Linked DNA regions of Caenorhabditis elegans. The protein of the gene in region 1 purifies or fractionates together with the protein of each later gene. This does not show direct contact. Each region holds a gene or a part of one and is shown on either strand. Other genes may lie near its edges.

Region 1 (7,554 bases):
CAACTAGAAAACTCATTGCGAAACACATTCCGGGGAAGAAATGTAAACCCATATATTGCAGGTGTTCGCTCCAGATACATTATTCCACGTGGCAAGGAGCACATTTTCAAAAATAGTTTCGGGTAAAAAAATGTTTTAATTCAATTCAGTTTTTGAAAAATTCAGAACAATGGTGTATGTTGGTACACAGCAAAAGTTCTATCCCGGAACCATGTCAATTGTACACAATTTACAAACTATGCCCGAGTTTTGTTCAAATCCCTCATCTGTCGTGATGAATAAGTATTTTGCACCAACATTTCCGGTGGACTGGTGTAATGTTGCGGTAGTAAGAACAAAATAATTAAATTTGTCAACATTCTAAAATGTTTAAATATTAATTCAGAGAAATATTTCATCTCTTGAAGGAGAAGGTATTGATGAATTGATAAAGGATGAACAAGAAGAGAAACTGACAAAAGCGAATCCAGATCAGGTAACTTTTAAACAAAACTCTACATGTTTTGAGAAATGCACAGCTTTGAAGCGACCGTAACTTAGTTTTCATTTGATTATTAGTTTATTCAACATTTTACACTGAAGAATAGCTTAACAAACCAATTGAACGGCTCGAATAAAGTAGTAGCGAGATGGAAATGGACGGATTAGCAAAGTTTGACAGTTAAGCATAAAATATGCATTTGGCCTTGAAATTTTACATAGCCACAATAATCGCGTGCGGTTATCGGGGTGAGCTGGCAAATAGCAAACGAAAGTATTGCGGCAAGTAACCATAACCTGAAAGAAGCGGACCGGGCATGTGATTAATGTTTTCTTCAAATTTTAGAATTTAATTTCAGAAATTTTCAAAAAAAAATTTCAGAAAAAATGTCTTTACATTTCAGAATTTGAACGAAAAACCTGAACAACCCCCACGTGAACTATATGGATACTCAGAACATGGTTTTAGCATCGTCTTATTTGCCATAATTCTTGGTGTTTCAATTCTTTTTGTTTTTGCACTCGTGCTCATTTTTTTTGGGTCAAGAGAAGGGCAGAAATGGAGAGACGACAAAACGTCTGGGTATATTTTACATTTTAACTTCAGTTATTGTACATGTTTGTACATAGCTAATTTACAGTGAAACATTGGGCGAATTCATTAGCATTCGTGACAATCAGAAGAAGCTCCGCGAACTATCACTTCAAAGGCAACTTCTGAGCATGGGACCAGACACGAACTCCACTGCGCCTTCTGGAATTCATTCTTATTTACAATCAAGAAGTAGAGCTCCAAGCACTAGTATTGCGAGATTTAGCAAAAGTGCGAGTAGACTTAATGATAAAGGTACTTTGGTTTTTAATATTATCTTTGATTAATTATGTTTGTTCAGAGGATACAATTGAGCTTCTCCCTTCAGTTGATCATGTCCCGGTTGGAAAACAAACTGTTGCAGAAGCGGCAAAACAGTGTGGAAGTTCTTTGCATTTGTACAGAAACCCTCTGAGTAATGAAAGTGATGAACAGGATACGGAGAGTTCTGATGAAGACAACTAGACTATTAAATTACATTTATAAGTATTCAATAAACGATCTCAATAATCAAACACCGGGATATTTGTGAATTTTGCTGTACAAGCAGTTGCTGTACAGGCTGTTGTGGCGCCTTCAAATTCGTAAAACATGATGAGATTTTCCCCTTTGTGAAGGAATTCCGATGGAATATAAAGAGTTTGCTGAAAATTAACTTTTGAAAAATATATTAAAAACAGTAAATTGGGCACCTGTGGTCCAATAGAAGCCCAATATCGTCCAATGTTGTACTGATTGATAGTCACAACGCCTTTTCCCCAACCTCTTGTGTCTAGAAAAGTGTCAGCTGGAGCTGTTTTGATTATTAAATTTCCAATGAACACCGACGGTTGCTCTATTGCTGCCGATTGAGATTTCTGTAAATAAAATAATATATGACGCACGTTTTTGAAGTAGCTGATACTTCAAAGTCAATTGTTTCGAAAACATGTTGCTTCAGACTCTCGTAATTTTTCACCAAACTAATTTCGTATGTTTCAATTGGAACTTCACAGCTCTCCCAATTCTCGAGAGTTATGTTACGCATGTAGACATTTCCTTGAATTCCCTGGAAGAAACTTCTCAATTGAAAACGTACACGTTGGGGCCTTACTCTTGACATAACAGGGTAGTTGTTATGGTCTCTACCAGTTATTTCAATTATGATTTCCAATGAGTTGAACTGGTCCAAACATCCTTGAACATCTATGGTGTTATTGTGAATTGAGCCAAATTGTTTGTAAAGGGCACCCTGAACAAAATAATTATGCTATCAATTTTGATAGTCATGACATAAATATTCAAGCAATGAATTCTCCTGAACTTCTTCTACAATGCTAAAATTAGCTATAAAAGTTTGGCACGTTTTTAATTTTGGAATTTCAAAATACCTTTTTCCATAACGGTAATTTTTTCAGTACCTTCAAATGTTTAGATTCAAATAAGCCAGGTTTAAATTTACAACTGTGCTCTAAATTCTTCACTTTTCAAAAATTCTATACAAATATAAAAGTTTACCACAAAGTTTTGATTCAAGAAAATATACGCATTGTCAGCAAAAGTTGGAATATACAGGGATCCGCACTCAATAATGGTCTGGAAAAACCAACACTATACGAAATTTAAAAATCTCAAAACCAACAGTATTATAATAAATGTATCCATATCCTTGACGAATATATTCAGCCGTTCTAGGCGTTTCTGGGCTGCTCCAGCATTCGGGATTTGCGCCAATTATGAAACCAGAAATTGTGTCAAATACTGTGAGTTGGACGTCAGGATACGCAGTCCGTGGTAAGTTAGCTGGAATTGGAGTCGGCGGATTCTGCCAGCCAGGAATGTTGCTGATCCAATTTCTAATGGAAATATACAGTGGATTAACATCACCAGCTTCAGAAATAGGAGCAAATGAGTCATATGACGTGGTGACAGGGTAAGGATCGACGGCTCCGTTCCAATATCCGAAATTTGTGCCGCCGTGAGTCATATGAAAGCTTAAACTAGCATTCAATGCAAATGCGGCTGAAAAATAATTATAATTTTAAAGTTATTTGCAAATTTACTTTTTGCCGTTTGAATAATAAGATTATTTGGGTAAGGATCAGAAACATTTTTGCCCCATAGTTTGAATGGATTGATAAGAAACTGCGAAGCAACTGCCGGCGCACCTGAACTATTTATTGTTTCAATTATTCACAAATTTGTTCACAAACCTTGCATGAATGCTTTTTGCATACTGAACCAACTTTCAATTTCCCCGGCATTTGCATTTGGCACAATTTCGATAGTTGGTAGAATATTTGGAAGTGTTCCACATCTCATAAATTGAAGAACTGGTGGATTGACAGTGAAAAGAACAACATCATTTCCTAAATTCTCCTTCGCCATATTTGCAAGCTGTAGAAGATATTGCTGATCACAAATGCCGAGCGCACCGTAAAAATGCTCAATTTGAACCATGAGAACGGGCCCGGCGTTTTTTCTCATGAGCGGGTAGATTTTTGGAAGTAGATGTTTCCACCATTGAGTTACTTCCGTCATAAATCTGTTTGTTGTATACTGTGTAAAAAGCAAGGAAAAATGCTGAGAAAAACTTACGATGGGTCACTGCTCCGGTACTTTCCAATTTTCGTATTCCTGATGAGCCACCAAGGAAGGCCGCCGTTATCCCATTCAGCAGAAATGTACGGCCCTATAGTTTATTATATTCAACCGCTAAACCTTAATCTTCAAAATATTCCCTCAGTTCAAAGAAACTTTTGAAATTTAGTAAATTTTTTAGTAAAAAAAGTAAAAGTAAAAAAAAAGTAATTAGTAAAAAATTAGACTTTGAAGAACTCTAGCTGTCTCGCGTGGTCAAAGCCCTAAAATATTTGTAAAAAAACATGCATAATCAAAATATAAAACCCAACGGTGATGTTTAACGTTTCTCCCATAATACATATTTTACTATTACCAATTCTGAGAATCGTATACAATCCATTTGATTCAGCAGCTTTTATGAATTTGACCAAATCCAAATTTCCAGAAAGGATAGGAGTTTCATCTTGATAAAATTGATGAAGATTCCAAGGAACTGGTACGGTGATTGCATTAAATCCTAACGCTCGCACTCGCTTCAGACGGTCATCCCATTTTTGATGCGGAATTCGGAAATAGTGTATTTCTCCAGCAATGTAGGTGAAAGGATCTCCATCAAGTAAAAATTGACTATTCACAGTGTCAATCTTGAATGATGGAGATGAATCTGTTCTAAACTATAAATATTTCAACTAATCAATGAAAAAACGAAATCATACCCGAAAACAGTGGCAAATACTGAACAAACAAGAAATAGAGCCAATTCTCGCCTCATGACTGCCGATGAATTTCGAATTAAATTACTTGCCTATCAGCTTTTTCGCATTTAGTTTTTATCAACTTTATGACCAGGCAACCTTCTATCAGCCATCATAAATGTAGAACAATGTAGAACAAAAAATCAAGCTAGATATGAATATACATGTACTGGTAATGAAAACATATTTATTCATTATATTTGCAGAAATATTATATCACATGACAATTTTACCATTATGCATAAAAACAAAATTAATATCTCCAGGCTTGTCTCCCACGGAAAAATCTCTCTCCTCTCGGAAGAATGGGTCTTCCAAAACTATTTCCATAACCATTACCTCCGGCCATACGATTGAAACCAAAATTATTTCCATAACCGTTTCGGTTTCCGTACCCATACCCATTGTTTGGGTATGGTGACTTAGTTGGCTCAACTGCTGCTCCAACACTCCCTTTAATACCGTCATCTACATTAGTGTTTCCACCATTGAATGAACTGGGACCGTTGTTATACCCATTCAAGTTCGGAAAGTTTCCATTTGGGTGAGGACCATTATTATATCCACTTGGGCCATTGGCTAAAAATATAAAATTACTATTAAAAGTTAAGTTGACATAAAACCTTCGTTTGGCATCCAAGGGGTCTGACCATCTTCTTTATTCTGATTTTCAGTCTCTTCTGCTGGCTTTGAATTTTTATTCCCCACACTTCCCTTGATACTATTGTCTGGAGGAGGTTGCTGAGGACCACTGTAGCCTAAACCGGAAACTTGAAAAAGGTCTTTTGTTTTTTTTTTCAAATTGAGTTGAGTTTTATATTTTTATGTACCTACCATTGGAGTTTGGTCCATTCCAATTGCCCATTGGGAAATTTCCTCCTTCTCCAGCTCCGCCTCCTTCACCGCCATTATTCCACATTCCATATCCATTTTGGCGTTTCAGCCGATCATGTGTAGCTTTAAAATCTGTGAAAATAATATTATAAAATATTATAATAATGCAATTTCAGAGATTTACAGAATCATTAAAACCATAACATTCGCGTTTCTGGCTATTTGTTATTTTTTACATTTCTATGAAAATACATACTTTGTGCTTCACTGCTCTTTTGTGTTTTCGGTGGCTCTTCTTGCCTCACAGAATATACAAATTGAATCAGAAGGAATAGAGTTCCAAGTGTCATGAATTTCATTTTGAATAAATGTTTGCGTTTCTGAAACTTTTAAATGATTGGAATTTAGAAATAAAAAAAAACAATACTTTTCAAAAAGTGTTAAGCATCAACGACTGGTCAAATCTCCACCACTGTTATCCTATTTATTCTATTTCTCCCCAAATTTGCAATTCAAAAAACCTGAGCCAGATGGCAATGGTTCTTTCTGTTTTATTTTCCATCCCCACCCGTTTCCTATGCATTCCTTTTGCTCAGAATCATCGATGCTCTCTGACTTTTCATCTATATTTGCCCGTATGTAAATTATCTATCTATTTTTATTGCCATTTATTCGCATAACAAAATAATGATTATTGAATATTTATAACCTATATTTGTCTAGCTGACAACAAGTATGCACCAAAAAATATTCAACATGTCCTCGAAAAGTAGAAAGTTTATGAGTGTACACACGGAAAACAAAAAACAAGTTCGTTTTCACAAAATCGCAACAATATAAAATAGAATGTAACAGAGACATAAGAAAAAAGAAGTACGAGAAAGAGGAGATAATCATTTTGAGCATTTCAACTTCTCCGTCACATTCGGCAACTAAAAATACTCGAGGATTTCACTTGAGGCGGTTTGTAGCCGTTTCCTTATTACGTATGCAAATCTGCGAGCAAACGCTGAGCAATACGAATGCTTTTTCCGTCAGTATTCATTAAAATAAACCGCACCTTCTGTTGATTTCTGTGTTTTGAAGTGAAGTTCGTAATATTTTTCACTTCAAACATGTTCAAGTATGTTCAGATTTGCGACATTTCGAGATTGAACTTTTTTGTTTGAAAAAATCATTAGCATAAAGTTTTTCAATTTTTGAGAATAATTGAAATAATCAAATTAATAAACATTAGTTAAAAAATGCCACTGCCGAATTTTCATGACGATCTGTAAAATATCAGAGATGGCTGAAACTTTTTGATTTCCACCAATTCGGAACATTTATTTGAAACGTTACACATTTTTTCCTTTTCCGACAAGAATGCCAAGAAATCCTGAATCGAGCTCATTCGCTGGATGAGCAATGTAGATGACCAAATCGAAAAATGATGATGAACCTTCGTGCTTATTTTTGCAACCTTTGCACATCTCCAAGGCATTTTTATGGTTACGCTTGAATGATATTTCGAAAAATATTCGAACATTCATTAACAAAGTTTTTTTTTTCGAAAAAATTACAGCACCAAACTTTTAAACTTAGAAGTACAGAAGATTAACGTTTCCGCCTGATTACTCAATATTGCACCCTTTCATGAATTTTATTCCATCTCTGAAATTTTCGTCCAAATTGAACGTAAATGTTTTTCCCTTTTCACTTCGAATGCGTTTTGCACATTCTCTACTGCGACATGTTTTATTCTGAATGCCTCCATAAAACATCCCTATTTATGAAATTTTTGTTCAGGGAGATCTTTTGGAGTCCGTTTTGTCTTTTATAGTTCCGTGTACAACATTTGGAGTTGATGATCATTAAAAGTGAAAATGGACAATAATCATTTTAAATCCATAAAATGAATGTCAACATAAAAAACACCTAGGATCATATCAAACAAAATTTTCTATTTGAAATTATATTTGTCATGAAAAAACTCCATGAAGCTTTCCATTTCTTATTTCTTTTTAATGAGACTTTAAAAGTTCATCTGAATGTTTCAGTTTACATTTAAAATTTCCGAGGTTTTCTTTTTTGAAAACTTAGATTTTCCCCCCGAAAGTGTTTTAAATTTGGAAGTGTAATTATAATTTGATTTGTTTTTGAAACAAATGTGTATAACCTTTTGAATAAAATAGGAATATATTTAATTTGGTTCATAATTATAGCGAATGATTTGAAATTTGTTAGGAAAATTTGAATGGCCGTCAATTATCATAAACTTTGGGTTTGTGTTCTAGTCTAGTCAGGCACTGCAATTTATCCTGAATATAGTATGTTCAAGATTTTATATTA
Region 2 (6,111 bases), on another chromosome or scaffold:
GCCACTACGACGGTAATTTACTTTGTCATTCACTAGTATACTGTGAGATGTCGATGAAGCTAAACTGATGTGATATACCACAAAAATGAAAACGGAAGTTGTATTAACCAAAACACGTCGATTTTTTAAAAATTTAAATACAATTAGATTGTATGCTTGAAGTATAGAACAAGTTCAATAAACTATTTTTGCAGGAGCCGATCATCAGACGCAGCGATGAGCTTCACAAATCCGTCAATGATGCAACAAAGCGTAAGAAATTATTGAAGAATCTGAATTTAATTAAACTGAAATTTTCAGAGTTCGTACGTAAATCAGCTCTATCAACACAACGTAATTAGACAACGACAAGCACAGGAACAGGGAAAAGTGAGCGTTTAGAGCAGAATAATTTTAATTAAATTTTAAAAAATTCTCAGGAACTCGACGAAGCAAAAAAAAACCGAATTCGAGGACTTCTCGAGCAAATCCCTGCTGATGTATTTCGAGGAGATATGACCAGTAATGAGTAAGTTTTGAAATTCGGATCTAAATGAAAAATTAACTAAATTATTCAAACTACAATCTGACCAATATCAATTATTGTTCGAGCTACAGCAGAGGTGTTGAAAAAATTATTATCACCCAGACGCAAAATTTCACTCACAAAATATGGTTCCCGGTCTCGGCACGACAAAATTTTTGTGTACTGTGGAAGAGTGTGCGCCTTTAAAGATTACTGTAATTTTAAACTATAGATATATACGGAAATTTCATAGATTTTTAATTCTTTTTTGAAAACTCAAATATATGTGATTAAAAAATCACATACATTTTCACGAAACTTAAAAAATGATGAAATTTCCGCTGCAAGGAGAGTTTGAAAATACAGTATTCTATAAAGGCTCACACCTTTTCGCATTAAACAAAAAATTGTCGTGTCGAGACCGTGTATCGCACTTTGGCGCAAAATTTCGCGCCTGTATAATCAGTATTAATGCGCTCTAGTTAAATTTTTAAAAAAACCATTTTCAGATGTGCCATCTGTATGATCGACTTTGAGCCAGGAGAGAGAATCCGATTCCTTCCTTGCATGCACTCGTTTCATCAAGAATGCGTCGACGAATGGCTTATGAAGTCATTCACATGTCCTTCGTGCCTTGAACCAGTCGATTCAACCATACTTTCCTCGTTAACTGCCCATAATATGCAATCCTTACAACAAATCGTGTGCTCGCCGACTTCCTCATCAACTGCCAAACCATGAATGCCTTCTGCAAAAAATATTCCCATTTTCTTGCCCAGTAGAAGTTTTCGAGTTTGGTTTGCAGTGTTGGCTGTATTTGTCCCCATTACAAACGTCTGTATATAGAAATGCGTGTACATATGAACTATACCATTTCTTCACTCATCTTTCACCATTTTCATTTTGTTTCTTTTTTGCTCTGTTCCACCTGAAATCCCCATGTTGTGCATACTGTAGTCGTCTTTAATTCCTCATCATCTCCTGTTCATCTTTTTAGTCAATTCCATCCCAACGTGTTATTTTTCTTTCTTCTGTTCACTCATCTCGCTCTCTGTTCTGTAGCTTTTCTTTAATTCACCACTCGGTACACACTTTCTGTCTATGTATCTGATACTCATTTTATTGACTTCCCAAAAAAACTTCCGGCTACTCTGAAATTCAAATAAATTGCTTTTTTTTAACGCATAAAGTGTCAAATTGTCAAACTTGTTTTATTAAAAGATTCATATTGGAAATTGAAATTTGAAAAAAAGGATTGGATCCCTGATGGAAATTGGTACTCGTGGTGAAAAAAATATTAAAATTAAAAGTCAATTAAAATCCGAAAAAGTCTCGAACGGCATCCCAGGCTCCTTGATCGTAATGCTTATGGCTTAGCATGTTCACACCACGTCGTTGAGTGGTATACAATCGTGTCGGAGTGTCGGACTTCAGAATCTTCTGCGATTCTGGCAGCAATTCGGCGAATTGGCTCTTCTCCGGCTCGTGATGAGGTGTCATATCGGGCATCATAACTGGTGATCCGTTTTCAGTGGTTGGAGTTCCAAAACTAGTTCGGAGCACGAAGACACGTCCAGGAACGGTTGATTTTGTGCCATTTTGATACAAATCAACATCAGACTCGGTCGTAGCGTAAATATATCCGATTCCGAAGCTTCTGCGGAAGACAAACTCATCTTCGGTCTTGTAGGCGTAAATTGGGCAATCCGAGAGAGTACGAACGTCGCATTGGGTGTCAAATTCTTCGAAGCAGTAAATGTACGTGCCGAACTGAAAATTGAAACATTTAATTTGAAAGAGTATTCAGTAATACTAACCAAAACTTTGCATTTTTCAAGCTCAATTGGGATTACAGCTTGTTGAGTGATCAGGACGAATTGTGGAATATCATAATAGGCATAGACCTCCTCATTGTGCAAGAACTCTCCTCCATGGGCCAACTGAAATTATATTTTTTTTTTTTCTTTAAATTCACTCAAAGGACTTACCGCATAAATAGTTCCAGATTGTGGAATATCTGAAATATTGAAGCAAATCATCGTCTGAACAGTCATCTGTTTCACGTTGCAAGTCTTCGGGAATACCGTTGTCTTTTGAGCAAAGTCTAGAACATCGTTGGCTCCGGCTCTTTTGATGGTTTCTTCAGTGACTGAATCCAGGAATGGATTATTGATTTTATTCTCCAAAAATAGAGATTTGAGATCTCGTTCGAATCGAAGACTATTCCAATTGTAGTCGAAATAATCCAAATATCTCATTTGAGATCTATCCTCTGTCAGATTGTATTCTGGTTGCTCGTTCTCGGTTTGGATATTGAATTTGCGGCAAATTGCGTCGAAACTCGTGAAAATCCGCTTTTGAAGAAGCCCTCGACTGTACTCATTCATATTGTTCGTGTTGAACGAGTTGACAAACTCATTGAGATCCAAGGTATACGGTACACAGTGTTGCTTCTCCGGAATCAGACGTCCTTCACCGTAAACTTCAAACTCGATTCCATTGGCACGGAATGAGTCGAGCACTGAGCATGTGGAGAATGCAGAGCAAATTAGGAGAAGAATCAGAAGACGCATCTGAAAATCGATAAATTGAAAGTGAAACGAAAGGAAAGTTGAGTTAGATTCCAGAAAACTTTCAAAAACCAATGATGGAATGACTAAAAAATGGGAAAAGAAGAAGTAAGATTGAGGAATGAAAACTATAAATTGGATAAAAATCCCGCCGAGTTTGTGGAGGTAGGTCAAAAAAGTATTTAAGTCTAGAATATAAAGTTTGTTGAACAGCTACAAAAAAATATAATTAGATACAGTATACTCCCAGCTTGCCTATAGATGCACCTAATTCTTCTATTGTAGGCAGCCACACCTTCAGGCACATGTGCCTGCCTCAAAGGTTTATAGAATTGGAAAAACAAACAAGCAAAAAGTGTTAACAAGTGGGAGAAGGTAGGCATGTAGGCACAAAATAGGCGCGCGAATTGAACTGATTTACCAGAATAGCATTTTAGAAGTTAAAGTTTTTGCTATTAAAAAAAGAAAGAAGGGATCAACAGAGAACTAAAGGATTCAAAAAAGAAAAAGAGCCAAACAAAATATTATAAAATAAATAGAAATGACCAAAGAAAGACAGGGGTCACCTATTCGAAATGTGTCTGCACACGGTGCATATGCGCTAATGTGCACGATAAAGAGTGACCACAAATGACATGTATATCCAAGACGCGCGGAGAGACTCACCAGAACGCTGCATTGCGCAACAACAACAATACGATCGAACCGCCTCCGATATCTTTCAGAACAATGACGTCATTAGAAGGGGTCATCTGCTGTTTTTTTTGTTTTAATAGAAATAATGGATTAGGTGGCGTTGCCGCCTTTTAGATTACGATTTACGATCAGGTAAGGTGGTGTATCTGGTGACGGATTATTGTGGTGTGGTGACGGAATGGTACACAATTTGGGAAGAGTCATGAACTCAATTTGCTCAAATTTGAATATTTGGATCAATGAATGAAACTGATGCTATGGTGGACATTAAATAAATTGTCTAAAAGCAGCCTGATAAATAAAGTTTATTTACCGTATTTCTCCTATAAGTATTGCACCCAATTGTTCAACTTTGACAGCTTATATCTTAGTTGTCGTTTGTTCTATACAAAAATTGTCAACTGAAACTTATTTTCAAAATCTTTTTATATAATTTTGTAGTTGATCATTTATTGATATCTCTAAAATAAACCAAGATATACATTTTCCAAGTAAACTAGTTGGGTACGGAAATACAGCACCTATTGGTTTGGTAAATTGGTAAATGATAAACTATGCTTTTGTGTATGAAAATGTTTGAAAAAATGAAAGATTCGACAATTTTTAAATAACATTTTAAGGAATACTAACGTTTTCGGAACTTGCCTATTGCGGCTTCTATGCAGAAATTAAGAATCTTTGATATTCTGTCCATCTTCCAGTTCCCCCAGTTTAAACTATTGAAACGACTGAAAATTTCTCCCTGAAAGTTTAGTGCTGACTCCGAACCATATAAGGGCGTTTTGTTAAACAGAAAAGTCCATCCACCATGAAAATATTGATTGGAAAATTGAAAAAAAAACTAAAAAGCAAAACATTTCAACTGAAAAATTTTATTTGAAGGACGAGATGAAAGGCTGATTTGTCACATAATTTCGTTATTGTACCGATTTTGCACGAGTTGACACAAATCACTTCTTCTGGAAGCAATCGCTTCCAATTCCAGCCAGTGTCTGATAGTTCGGATCATGAGTAGCTGAAAGTTAAATTTGAACTTTGATTGTGTGAACTACAAAAACAAACCAGCCATTCCAGGACCACCGGCTTTTGGAGCACCTGGAGCCGCACCACCACCAGCTGGTTTTGCACCTTCTTTCTTGTCGAAACAATCGTTTCCAATTCCAGCAAGTGTTTGGTAGTTGGGGTCGTGGGTGGCTGAATATGATTAGTTTGTTAGTACGTAGTTGAATCTGAATATCCAATGAAATATTTACTCACCAGCCATTCCAGGACCTCCAGGTTTTGGAGCACCAGCAGCAGGAGAAGCTCCACCAGCAGCAGCAACAGGAGAAGCTTTTCCTTTCTCTTGGAACACATTTCCATCAACTCCAGCAAGAGTTTGATAATTTGGATCATGTGTCCCTGCGACAGCATTCTTATCACTTGGAGCCTTTGGTCCCTCTGGGTTTGGAGCACTCGATGATTTTTCTTTCTTATCACTCTTTGCACTGGTTGCACCATCTCCTCCTCCTCCTCCAGTTTTAGCTCCACCACCACCCGATGATCCACCAGTCTTCTTCTTTCCTCCACATTGTCAATGACGTATCCGGTGAACACCATTGGAGCGAGCATGCTGTAACCGAGATGGGCAAGTTGTAGAAGTGTTTCACTATTTTCTGCCATGTTTCTTTCTGAAAAAATAACTTGCATAATTACAGATAGAAAACAATCTGCATTAAGCATGAAAAACCGGACGTTTTCACCAGATTCCTGAGAATCAGGAGTCCTTGAAGGTCTTTATGCCAACATGCCGGCAAAGCTTCCCCAAAAAAGAGCCGAAGAGAAAACTCACCGAATACACAAGGTCGCAGAACAAAAGTTAGAATAAATTAATTGAACAGATAAGTTTCTAAATTGAGACTTTCACGTGTTTCTTTTCAAGATTTTCATAACCTTTTCATAAACCAAAAAATACTTTTTGAGATAATTTGAGCATTGCGGCAAACTAAAACCCCTGCAATGCTCAAACTTAAAAAATTAAAACAAAATTATTAAAGGTGCACTTTTGGGGGGAAATTTCAAAACGGGATCCTTACAAATGTACTTATGAATCTCATAGAAATTCCCTTTCTTTTCATCCAAATCCCATGCACCGTAATATTTCCATATTATTCGTATTGTTTCTAATAAAAATTCATAGTTTTTTGTCTTCTGTATATTCAAATCGAATAGTGCTCCGTGGTAACAGAATGCGATTTATTTTATGAGAAACTTGATGTTTCTGGCAGATTTTATTGATCGCACAATCATAGTTTCGTGGTACTCTGGCGATCTTGACGAATTTATTGATACATTTTACAA
Region 3 (9,336 bases), on another chromosome or scaffold:
CTAGATATGGAGCACCTACAAAAGTCGTACTCTCCGATTCTCAATACTCTTTATTCTACGATTATGTAATTGGACATAAATTCACAAATCAATCTGGTGCAGGTATTTGGACACCTCCAGGGATTGCTGGAATTGGTTACGGATATGATATTGAACCAGTGTGGTACGGAGAAACAACAAGTTTAACAAGAAATGTAATCCATGAAGCCATGAAAATGCCTGATATTGCATCAGTAGCTACAATGAGAATTCTCGATGAAAAAGGTTATAATGTGGGACCGTCAACATCACTCAACTTCCTTGTTTCTCTTTACAAAGCCTATCAGAACAAGTAAGTAATTCAAACTGACATCATTGCAAACTAATCCGTCTAGAGTATTTATTCGTTGTCTTTTGACGACTTAAGCGTTTACTAGTACATTTAAATTTTTGCGTTAAAAAATATGTTTTAATAGTTTAGTTTACGCAAGCGTATCAATATACCTTGCGTATACCTTGGCTATCAAATCTTGATGAACACAATTTTCAGAGCCAGAAAATCTGCTATCAAGCATCGTCTTACGATTGTTACACTGGCTTGTGACCCAGGAGATTTCTACCGTAGTACGTACCTTAACAACGAATGGGTCGAGAAAAGTTTCAAGAAGTTTGGAGGTGTTATGGGAATGGAATGTTGGAAAAAGCTGATTCAAGAATCAATTGATACGGGTTCTGATTTCTATTCGAAAGGTCTCACTATGTGTCCAGGAGCTTTTAAAGTTTAACTGTTTTGCATTTCTGTGTTTTTGTGTCTCTCCGTATTGTACAGGTTCGTAATTGATCAATTTTAAATTAGATTGTTTTTTTCGAAAATAGAACTCATAGTTCCAGTGATTAAGTCTATTCCCGTGCATGAGTTTTGTGCTTGCTTTGATCTGTATTCAAGTTTAATTGAATAAACTATTTATTATTTAATTATCTGAAAACGCAAAAGTTATAATATTTGCACATAAGGCAAATATGAAAATATACACAACAAAAATTGACCAGTCGACGCCGCGAACAACAGGTTGATCAAGAAAACCATATTGAAAATCAATTGAATCTTTTTTGCGACCATCCGGTGTGTAGATGATTCCTGAAAACAGAAATTGTGATTTTTCAAAGTTCTAAAAACTGACCTGTCAATGATCTTTTCGAACAAATGAACATTTTCTTGCAAACTTCACAATATGTTGGACATTGCACAATATGTGTTGAATTATTGTCAAGAAAAGCCAACCCATCGTAAAGAGGACAGCTGACAACTTTATTTCCGATCGAAAATTGAAATATTTCAGTTTTGTTGCAAACTTCGTTCTGAAATGCGGACTTTACTTACATGGCGAAAATTTTAACTCACTTGAATACGGTACATTCTAGTTGTCTTGGAAACAAATTTAGGAATATCTCCCGTTCTCATTAAGGAAGTCAATATGTTAACTTCATTCGGATCTTTCTCGAATAGTTTGATTGCTATCTGAGTGCAAATTACATTAGTATGCAAAAATGTTTTACAATAGATAATTTGCAATGAAAAATGCTGCCGACAATTGTAATTGTTTTTTGAAGTTTTAGCAATGAAAACGCCCGCCCGCCTTGTGTCCAGTTTCAATCACCTTACAAAACTTACTTTTAGCGATTCCACATATTCTATTTGAAAACTAAAACAACACAACACGAAAAGATAGTTTTTAATATACATCTTTATTTGAAATAATGTTCCATAAACTTTCAAGTTGTGCAATATTATTCCACGTTTTGAATGTTTCGTTTAAAATAATAAATTCCACGCGAAATTGCTAGAACGTTGTTTGAGATCGTATTCTTCTGAACCGGTTCGTGTTTTCAATTTCAGACATAATCTCCTCAAATCTAGTTCGAATGAGGTCCGTCTCGAGGCGTTTCCTTTTACGGTCAGCTTCCTGAAAATTGTAGAAATTTCAAATGTTAGGTACAGTAGGGTAATTAAAAACTACGTTCCCACGAGTTAGATGCTCAGCCAATGCTCGGTGAATTGGCTCCTACTCAAAAACCCTATTAACTTTCAAAAACCGCTCTTCCATAGAAGTTTTACGAAAATTTATTTATCTATCTACTGATATAATCAAAATTAAAATTGAACGTCTCACACTAGAGTGTACATAGCTCACCGTGTGTCAGTTAACCAATAAAGACAAAAATATTGCAGGAAACTCACCAAAATGCTCATTTGCTCTCTGACTAATTCCACTGACTTTTTCTCATCTTCTGTAGGACCATCCCATCGATTCGGGTTAGATATTAATCCATTCATTACTGCTTCATATTTTCGATTTTTCCTCCTTTCTTTTGCATATACTTTCCCTTCGAAAATGTGTAAAATTTTCATAAAGTAATTGGGTATAACTCCAATGATTGGAATTTTTGATAGAAAAAAGCAAAAAGTTTTGAGAATGTAAAAGAGCAACGAGAGTGGTGCAGGAATCCATAATTTTTCTTCATACCTGGAAATAATGTGTCTTGCTTTTTTTCTTCCTCAGTTGAACTCACTCAATCAACCGACTATACAGTTTATATTTCCAGTAAATATGTGAAACTTTGTCAATATCTTCATACTTTTTCCTGGAAATTTCAACTTTTATCATTGGGTTTTCTATTCTTGGAGTTTTCCATTACGCCCTGATAACATACGATAAGAGTGCGGTAACCAAATTCACAAGGAGTACACTTGAGACCAACATGTAACAGAATAAGAATACAGGTATCATACTTGTCTGGAAATTATATTTTCATGAAAGTTTTGGATCTTAAGAAAATTGCGTACTTTGAACCAGCATTGTACCGAAGAATCAGTAATGACGTCCCAGTTCAGAGGTGCTGACGAGCATTTACTGACAGTCCCTAAATAAGACTTTTGATTAGAAGCGTGCTATCAATTATACAACAGACTCAAAAGTTACTACAAATCTTTGAGGTATTCCTGTATTGCGCCTACTTTCAAAATAAAAGTGAACATTTTTTCATTTGCTAACTGCAAATGCAGAGGTTGTAGGGACGTACGCTGGAGGACAAACCTGGACGTTTTTTGGAGCTGATTGAAACCAACGCAGAACATAGTGATGTGACTTATATTTTTAAACGTTTCAATTTTTGAAATCCATAAAAAATATATTCCTTCAATCTTCCAAAAATGAAAACTAACCTAGTTTATCCTCCTCATCAGCTTCTCCAAAAATTTCAAATGCACCACTACTGAAAATCAGCCAAGGCCAAACGACATCGGTTATATTTGGAGTACTCTTCAAATGCCCCGCCAAACTGATATGACAAACTGCATAGGTGAACCAAAATACCATAAACACAAACATAAATTTGACCATTATTGGAATCTGTAATCTGATATTTGATAAGTCAATCAGACAGTTTTATGTTACCATTTTCTTGATCATAAGGACAATTGAACCAAAAAATGCATCGACATTTGCAATTTTCATGAGTCGGAGAGTTGCAAAAACGAAAGAAAAATAAAAGAATAAGTCGGCAGAAATGATTGCAAAAGCTCGAATAGGCCATGTTGGAGGAGCAATTACAGCTACAGACCAGGCTATCATTGTCATTGCAACCAAATAGTTACGGTAAAGATCAGCTGTATTTCGTTCAGCCCAATTATAGAAACCCTGAATGTGTCTTAATGCTGACTTCATGATATAATATTCGCAATTCTTACTCTTTGATAAACCAATACAGCCATTTCAGTTAGATATGCACACTGCCAAACTATAATAGCCATTTCATCCAAAAACTCGTCTAATTCATTCATAACCATTGTTTTTCGTGTCATTGTCATCAAAACGTATGCATAGAATATCACGTATATTAACCGAAAAAGAGTGTGAATAACATATTTTGCATTTGGAGATGTATAGAAATTGTAGACTCGAATAAGAAAATTACTGAAATTAATTGAAACATTGCGTATAACTGTGATGACAGTTAACTAGCGACAGTGGGAAAACATTTAAAACTACATGGTGCTTAAATGACTAAAGTGACTATTCTCGCACCATAAGAGTAGTTTTAAACTTTTCCTCACTGGAACTTTCAAACCTATAAGTAATAGAAGTCATATTCCCAGAATGATCCATTTTCAACATCATTGTTTTGATTTCTCGTTTCTTGATTCTCTGCTTTCCGCGTAAGAAAAACAACGGCGGAAAAAAGAAAAATAAGAAGAATGCCATCTGAAACCGTCACAATTTTACGAGGAATAATTATATTATGAATACAGTTAATATGTATATTTGTTTTGAAAATATAATTTTGGTTTTATTCTTATTGCACAAATTTATTAAAAAATTGATTCCCTCCATTTTTTTTAAAGAAAAATTGACCATAGTTCTCGTAGTTCAGAAATGTTCCATTATTAAAAGATCTATAAGATTCATATCATGTTACATTTCTCCACCCTCATCTAATTTCCATTTATTCTCTGATTCCTTTTAGTTCACAAACATCCTGCTTTGCTCATAAAACTCACTTGTCCTAATTTGAAACCAGGCTGCCATCGAAAGTCAATTTCTCGTTGGCATGCTGGATGAGATAGGAAGTTCTGCAATTCGAGTCATAAATCACTTCTAATCCCACTCAAATAACAAACTTTTGCCTTCGCCGCCGACGCTAATGCCATCACTTCCATATCCTCTTCAACTGAAGGGCATCCATCTGTATGGATAAATAAATGATAATTTGTATCCAATACAGCTCTAGTGTCTCGTTCACTTGTATGAAAACATTGATCTAGAAGTGCAGTGCATTCATCGTCAAACGAACTGAAATTTTAAGAAAATTACGACGAATTCACACTTGATACATCGGAGTCTGGGATAGAGAAGTTTGAATTTAATTTGTAATGAACAATTTTTAATTTCTAAATAAAAGAAAATTTGACTTCAAACTTTGATCAATGTCTAATTCAAATAAATCAGTCCTTCTCAACTATTTTAGAATTTCAATTTAAGATCCAAATTTTAGGTTTCCTTTCACAAAAACAGTTGACTCACTTTTGAATCTTTTCAAATGCTTCGGCAATGACCGGCTCGTGTTGTCCCGAAAACAATTTCCTCATTTTTTCACTGACGTACACCTGCAATAATGGCTTCTGTTGTTCCTGATTTCTTTTAGTTAAAATTTTAAGTTTAAATAAAGAAAAAAAACAACTTCGAATCTCATCGAAATATTCAAAAGTGCAAAACATTACTTGAAAGATCTAAATACCAGGTTTCATGGCCTCCGGAAACATATGTATAAAAAATAGTTAATTCTTTTTTTGTAGTTGATTAGTTTTATTTATTTTATGTAGAAACCGTAATAAAATTAGAGTAACGAGATAAAAGAATAATAGAAAATTTGCAATTAACAGTCCCGTTCAAAACCTTACACTGTGAAGAAATCATAATATTTCTATTGTCAGAATCTGTACATTTTTGTTTTTTTATTTCTTCTAAATATTTCCAAACATACCACTAGTAACCCAGCAAAAATCGGATACTCGCATTTAGCCCAAATCTCGTGAAGATCGCTCCTGAGCTACACTTTAGTTGCTTTTTCAACCGCCAAAATCCCTGAAATCTTAACATACCTTTTGAAGAAGGAAGACGCGATTAAGTGCAACATGTTTGTGTCTTTAACTTGCGATAGATGACATTTAAGAATAGGTTGCATCGTGTTGTTGATGAATTCAAAGATTGATCCACCGACCGTTGCAAACTTTGGATTACGTTCAATGACATCATATGTTATGAACAGCTTCTCCTTTAAAGTTTATATTAATGTTCAATAGTTTATTTATTAATGCTGGATAATTTCTAGAATATATCCTGAAACGAATTAGGGAAGCAGTTAAAATTCTAATTATTTATATTTTGACAAAACATCATAGAAACCGTTATCAATGTTTAAAACTTCTAATATCTACATAATAGTTTTGTTTATATAATATAGTATATAATATAGTTTTGGATCCATTAAAATCGCTATTTTTATCAAATCCTATCATTATTTTTTCAAACTTTCGAAAAAAATTTCTTACTTCTTGTTCCATTTCGTTCAGCTTATTAATAATTTCCCTTGACGACATATCTACGGAAGTGCATCGTGACGGTTGTATCTAAAAATGTTTTAATTCTTTTGCGTAATTGAGCAGAATCATTATGTACATACTTTCAAATTCTTATCCGACTTACCCAATATTTATCATCCTCAATAGAAAAATTTCTTGTTCTAAATTTGATAGTTTTCCGACGACCGGATGGAACGTCGAGGTTCATCTTGAACTGTGCTACTTTCTGACGCAGGTAGTACGTTGATATAGCGAAAGAAAAAGACAGAAAGTAAAAATGTTATCAAATTGAATGAGGCTTATCAGTGGCAATTGTTTGCTCCACCATTCTCCCAATTTCGGAAGACGCAGGAGACAGTTGAAACATTAGAGGAGTGGGGGCGGAAAAGAAACAGAAGTTTGAAAGTTCAATAATCATCAATTAGAGTCTAGCTACTTGGAAATATTTACTATTTTTGATATAGGCAGGCCGGAGCCTGCTATGCAACTTTTCTTTCAATTAGAAAACACCTGATTTATAAAGCTTTTAATATTTCCAGTTCTCTAAAACAGTCCCCATTCCCGAAGGGCTCGCGGGCCCACAGGCCCGTTAGTCCGGCAAATTGGTCAATCGGCAAATCGTCAAACCGGTAAATTGCCGGAATTGTAAATTTCCGGCAAATCGGAAAACCGGTGAATTGCCGGCAAACTGGCAAATTGACGAATTTTCCGGAAAAGTGGTAAATCGGCAAATTGCAGGAGTCGAAGTTTCCAGCAAATAGGTAAGTTACCGAAATTGAAATTTCCGGCAAATCGGCAAACCGGCAAATTGCCAGAGTTGAAAATTTCCGGCAAATCGGCGACCTTGAAAAATTCATTCAAAATTTATACCATTTATTTCTATAAATAGGTTCAACATTTGATCACAAATGTGACAGCATGTTTGAACGTCAAACTAGTAAAACTCGTTGATTTTCTCATAAGTTACGCAATTTAATAATGCATAAGATAAAAAATGTTTAAGATTGAAACAAAATTTAAATTTATTTTTTTCAAATTTAAAAAGAATGGATGCATCAGACGACTGTGAAGTTGAGATCAGGTCAAACTGGATTGAAAGATATATCGTGGCAAACTAATAAAGACCAGAAACTGTTGGACAGGGAAATAGAGGAAGGATAGGCAATTTCACTATTATCACTTTGTATTGTCATATTATGCAATTAAAAATTTGGATTATTATCAAGAAAGAGAAAGATTGGAAACGGCAACGACAGAGAAGAGAAAACAAAGAGAGGAGAGAACAATTCAAATATTTTCAGATAGAAAAGAAAAGGTTAGGGTCCGGTGAGCTGCCAACGATATTGACCTGATCAGAGGCCTCCGCGCAGTCTAATAATGCAGCGCACGAGACCCGATGATGAGAAAATATGATGAATAAGTTATCAATTATCGTCCTGATTGCAGCAGAATGTTTTGAGATATGCAAATGAACATCGCTTCTCACAACATTCTGTCGCAATTCCGCCTCGCTTTTGTTGGTGGTGAATGTGAAAAAGATCGCGAGTTGTTGGTGCATAGGATTGGTCGGCGGAACCTGAATAATACATTTTGATTGTAGTTTTGATTGGAGAATAAATACTGAGGAGTTTCAAAATATATTATATTGATTGAACACACAGAGGTTTACTTGTGCCTACAGGCCTACAGGCGTTTGTATATTTTTTGTAATATGGATCTGAGTTGTAATCTATTCAAAATATGAGGTGTGGCTGTGTGGAGCTCAATCCATACTTCTGCTGAACGAGTCATGTGTGGTTTCGGTTTTTTTATTGTCTGATCATTTCAATCCGTATCAAATTTGTTTTTTTTTTCTCACAAAAATCAAGTAATTGATAGTCTATCAGTGTTTTTAATAGTTTCATAATCATTTCAAAAACTTATTCATTGTCCCTAACTTATAAATACTTGATTTATTTTTGTCTCTTGCTTCTATTTTGGAATATATATGCACTTTATTCGATTTCAAGCTAATTCAGTGACTAAATTAGTGAATTATAATTATACGTCATTTAATGATTTTCAACTTCAGAACCTATTTCAAACTTTAAAAGTGACAACATCCATTTGGTTTTTTGTCTACGTATTCTCAACACTCATGACTTACAATATAAAAAATCTAACATTAAAATTGTCTTGTGGTTATAATTATCTCTCTTTTTCTAGACAACTATCAAATGACAAGCTTGACGTAGTTAATTACCATCAATCAAAACTCAAAATCTATCAAACAGTAGGTATCTCAAAAGTGCATTAATATGGACTTCAACATTGGTATCTTTGAAGAAAAAGCTTTTTTGAGCATCGTGAATGTTTCATAAGGTTTTCCACCCCCGGAGACCCCATCGAGAATTACTAACGTTTGAAAGCGGTTAATCCAGTGCACAGCTGATTCCGGCATACTGCTAAAAGGGTTGTTGTGAGACGTGATCCACATAGTCGAATCGATGCGTCTGAAGGCGTCGGCGACGAGAGGAGAAGGATCGCGAGAAAGCCAAAGAAGAACGAGGGTCTGGAAAAATTATTCGAATTAAGATGCAGGGTAAAAGATGAATAATGTCTGGACTTTTTCGACGTCAAGATTCAAAATAAGCTCACCTGTAAACTTGACGAAACCAGTACATTGCGTACTGTCGTAGCGTGTGGCCCGTTGTTGAGAGCGGTGAGGAACTGAAAAATGCCCTATAAATATATATTTCCGAGTACTAAAAACGAAAACGAAGATGTGTCAAAGAAGACGAAGTTAGCGGGCTCAAATTACACTGTATGTGATTCATTAAAATTAGCTCCGATTACCCGACGACGTCGATAAGAAGAAGAAGCGTATAAAGCAGAAGACAAGGATAGTTATGAGGGGGTGGGAAAGAGAAGGCAGACACCTTCAATTATGACGTCGGATGGAACAACGTCTCCAGAGAGATTTGGAGGAAATGAGCGCACGCCATATAACTATACATTTTACTGATTGCGTTTCAATATAAATATCTTAATATTTAAATTTGATAAACGATGAGAAAAGTGGAAGTGAACATTAAAGCATAGACGTAGATGATTTCCTGTCTGCTCGTTTGCAGTCAGGACAAATTTGGAAGAAATAATTTATATTTCTATTTATAAAGTTAGATGCACTAATAATTAAATAAGAAAGGAATGACGTTCCATTGAATTTTAAAAGGACA

The links.
Region 2: the proteins of bgal-2 (region 1) and C01G6.3 fractionate together in Caenorhabditis elegans (co-fractionation; one large-scale study listed by BioGRID). This does not show direct contact.
Region 3: the proteins of bgal-2 (region 1) and F13B12.3 fractionate together in Caenorhabditis elegans (co-fractionation; one large-scale study listed by BioGRID). This does not show direct contact.

Annotation. Positions count from the first base shown.
Region 1 is NC_003284.9:6,781,286-6,788,839, reverse strand, and holds bgal-2 (Glycoside hydrolase 35 catalytic domain-containing protein), read right to left. Parts: upstream 4,430-7,554; 5' UTR 4,407-4,429; coding exon 4,351-4,406; intron 4,304-4,350; coding exon 4,008-4,303; intron 3,744-4,007; coding exon 3,650-3,743; intron 3,597-3,649; coding exon 3,265-3,596; intron 3,220-3,264; coding exon 3,115-3,219; intron 3,074-3,114; coding exon 2,694-3,073; intron 2,648-2,693; coding exon 2,570-2,647; intron 2,304-2,569; coding exon 2,166-2,303; intron 2,121-2,165; coding exon 1,977-2,120; intron 1,930-1,976; coding exon 1,765-1,929; intron 1,717-1,764; coding exon 1,576-1,716; 3' UTR 1,538-1,575; downstream 1-1,537. Other genes in the region: sgca-1 (Dystroglycan-type cadherin-like domain-containing protein), read left to right, coding at 1-122, 166-328, 386-475, 885-1,063, 1,122-1,327, 1,374-1,537; idpp-6 (Prion-like-(Q/N-rich)-domain-bearing protein), read right to left, coding at 4,643-4,968, 5,013-5,147, 5,224-5,355, 5,480-5,582.
Region 2 is NC_003280.10:9,266,861-9,272,971, reverse strand, and holds C01G6.3 (Lipoprotein), read right to left. Parts: upstream 3,085-6,111; 5' UTR 3,079-3,084; coding exon 2,494-3,078; intron 2,446-2,493; coding exon 2,323-2,445; intron 2,276-2,322; coding exon 1,820-2,275; 3' UTR 1,705-1,819; downstream 1-1,704. Other genes in the region: C01G6.4 (RING-type domain-containing protein), read left to right, coding at 1-12, 195-252, 301-369, 420-508, 1,015-1,246; C01G6.2 (uncharacterized protein), read right to left, coding at 4,676-4,786, 4,834-4,965, 5,029-5,433.
Region 3 is NC_003282.8:10,436,199-10,445,534, reverse strand, and holds F13B12.3 (Ion transport domain-containing protein), read right to left. Parts: upstream 6,413-9,336; 5' UTR 6,327-6,412; coding exon 6,243-6,326; intron 6,167-6,242; coding exon 6,089-6,166; intron 5,812-6,088; coding exon 5,639-5,811; intron 5,587-5,638; exon of another isoform or gene 5,582-5,586; coding exon 5,521-5,581; intron 5,144-5,520; coding exon 5,061-5,143; intron 4,830-5,060; coding exon 4,658-4,829; intron 4,610-4,657; coding exon 4,538-4,609; intron 4,242-4,537; coding exon 4,108-4,241; intron 3,954-4,107; coding exon 3,728-3,953; intron 3,678-3,727; coding exon 3,435-3,677; intron 3,390-3,434; coding exon 3,203-3,389; intron 2,902-3,202; coding exon 2,825-2,901; intron 2,775-2,824; coding exon 2,692-2,774; intron 2,623-2,691; coding exon 2,551-2,622; intron 2,505-2,550; coding exon 2,219-2,504; intron 1,944-2,218; coding exon 1,821-1,943; 3' UTR 1,705-1,820; downstream 1-1,704. Other genes in the region: Putative pyridoxal-phosphate dependent protein F13B12.4, read left to right, coding at 1-331, 530-764; F13B12.7 (Neprosin domain-containing protein), read right to left, coding at 951-1,117, 1,161-1,338, 1,382-1,441; ins-1 (Insulin-like peptide INSL5), read right to left, coding at 7,543-7,694, 8,518-8,669, 8,756-8,781.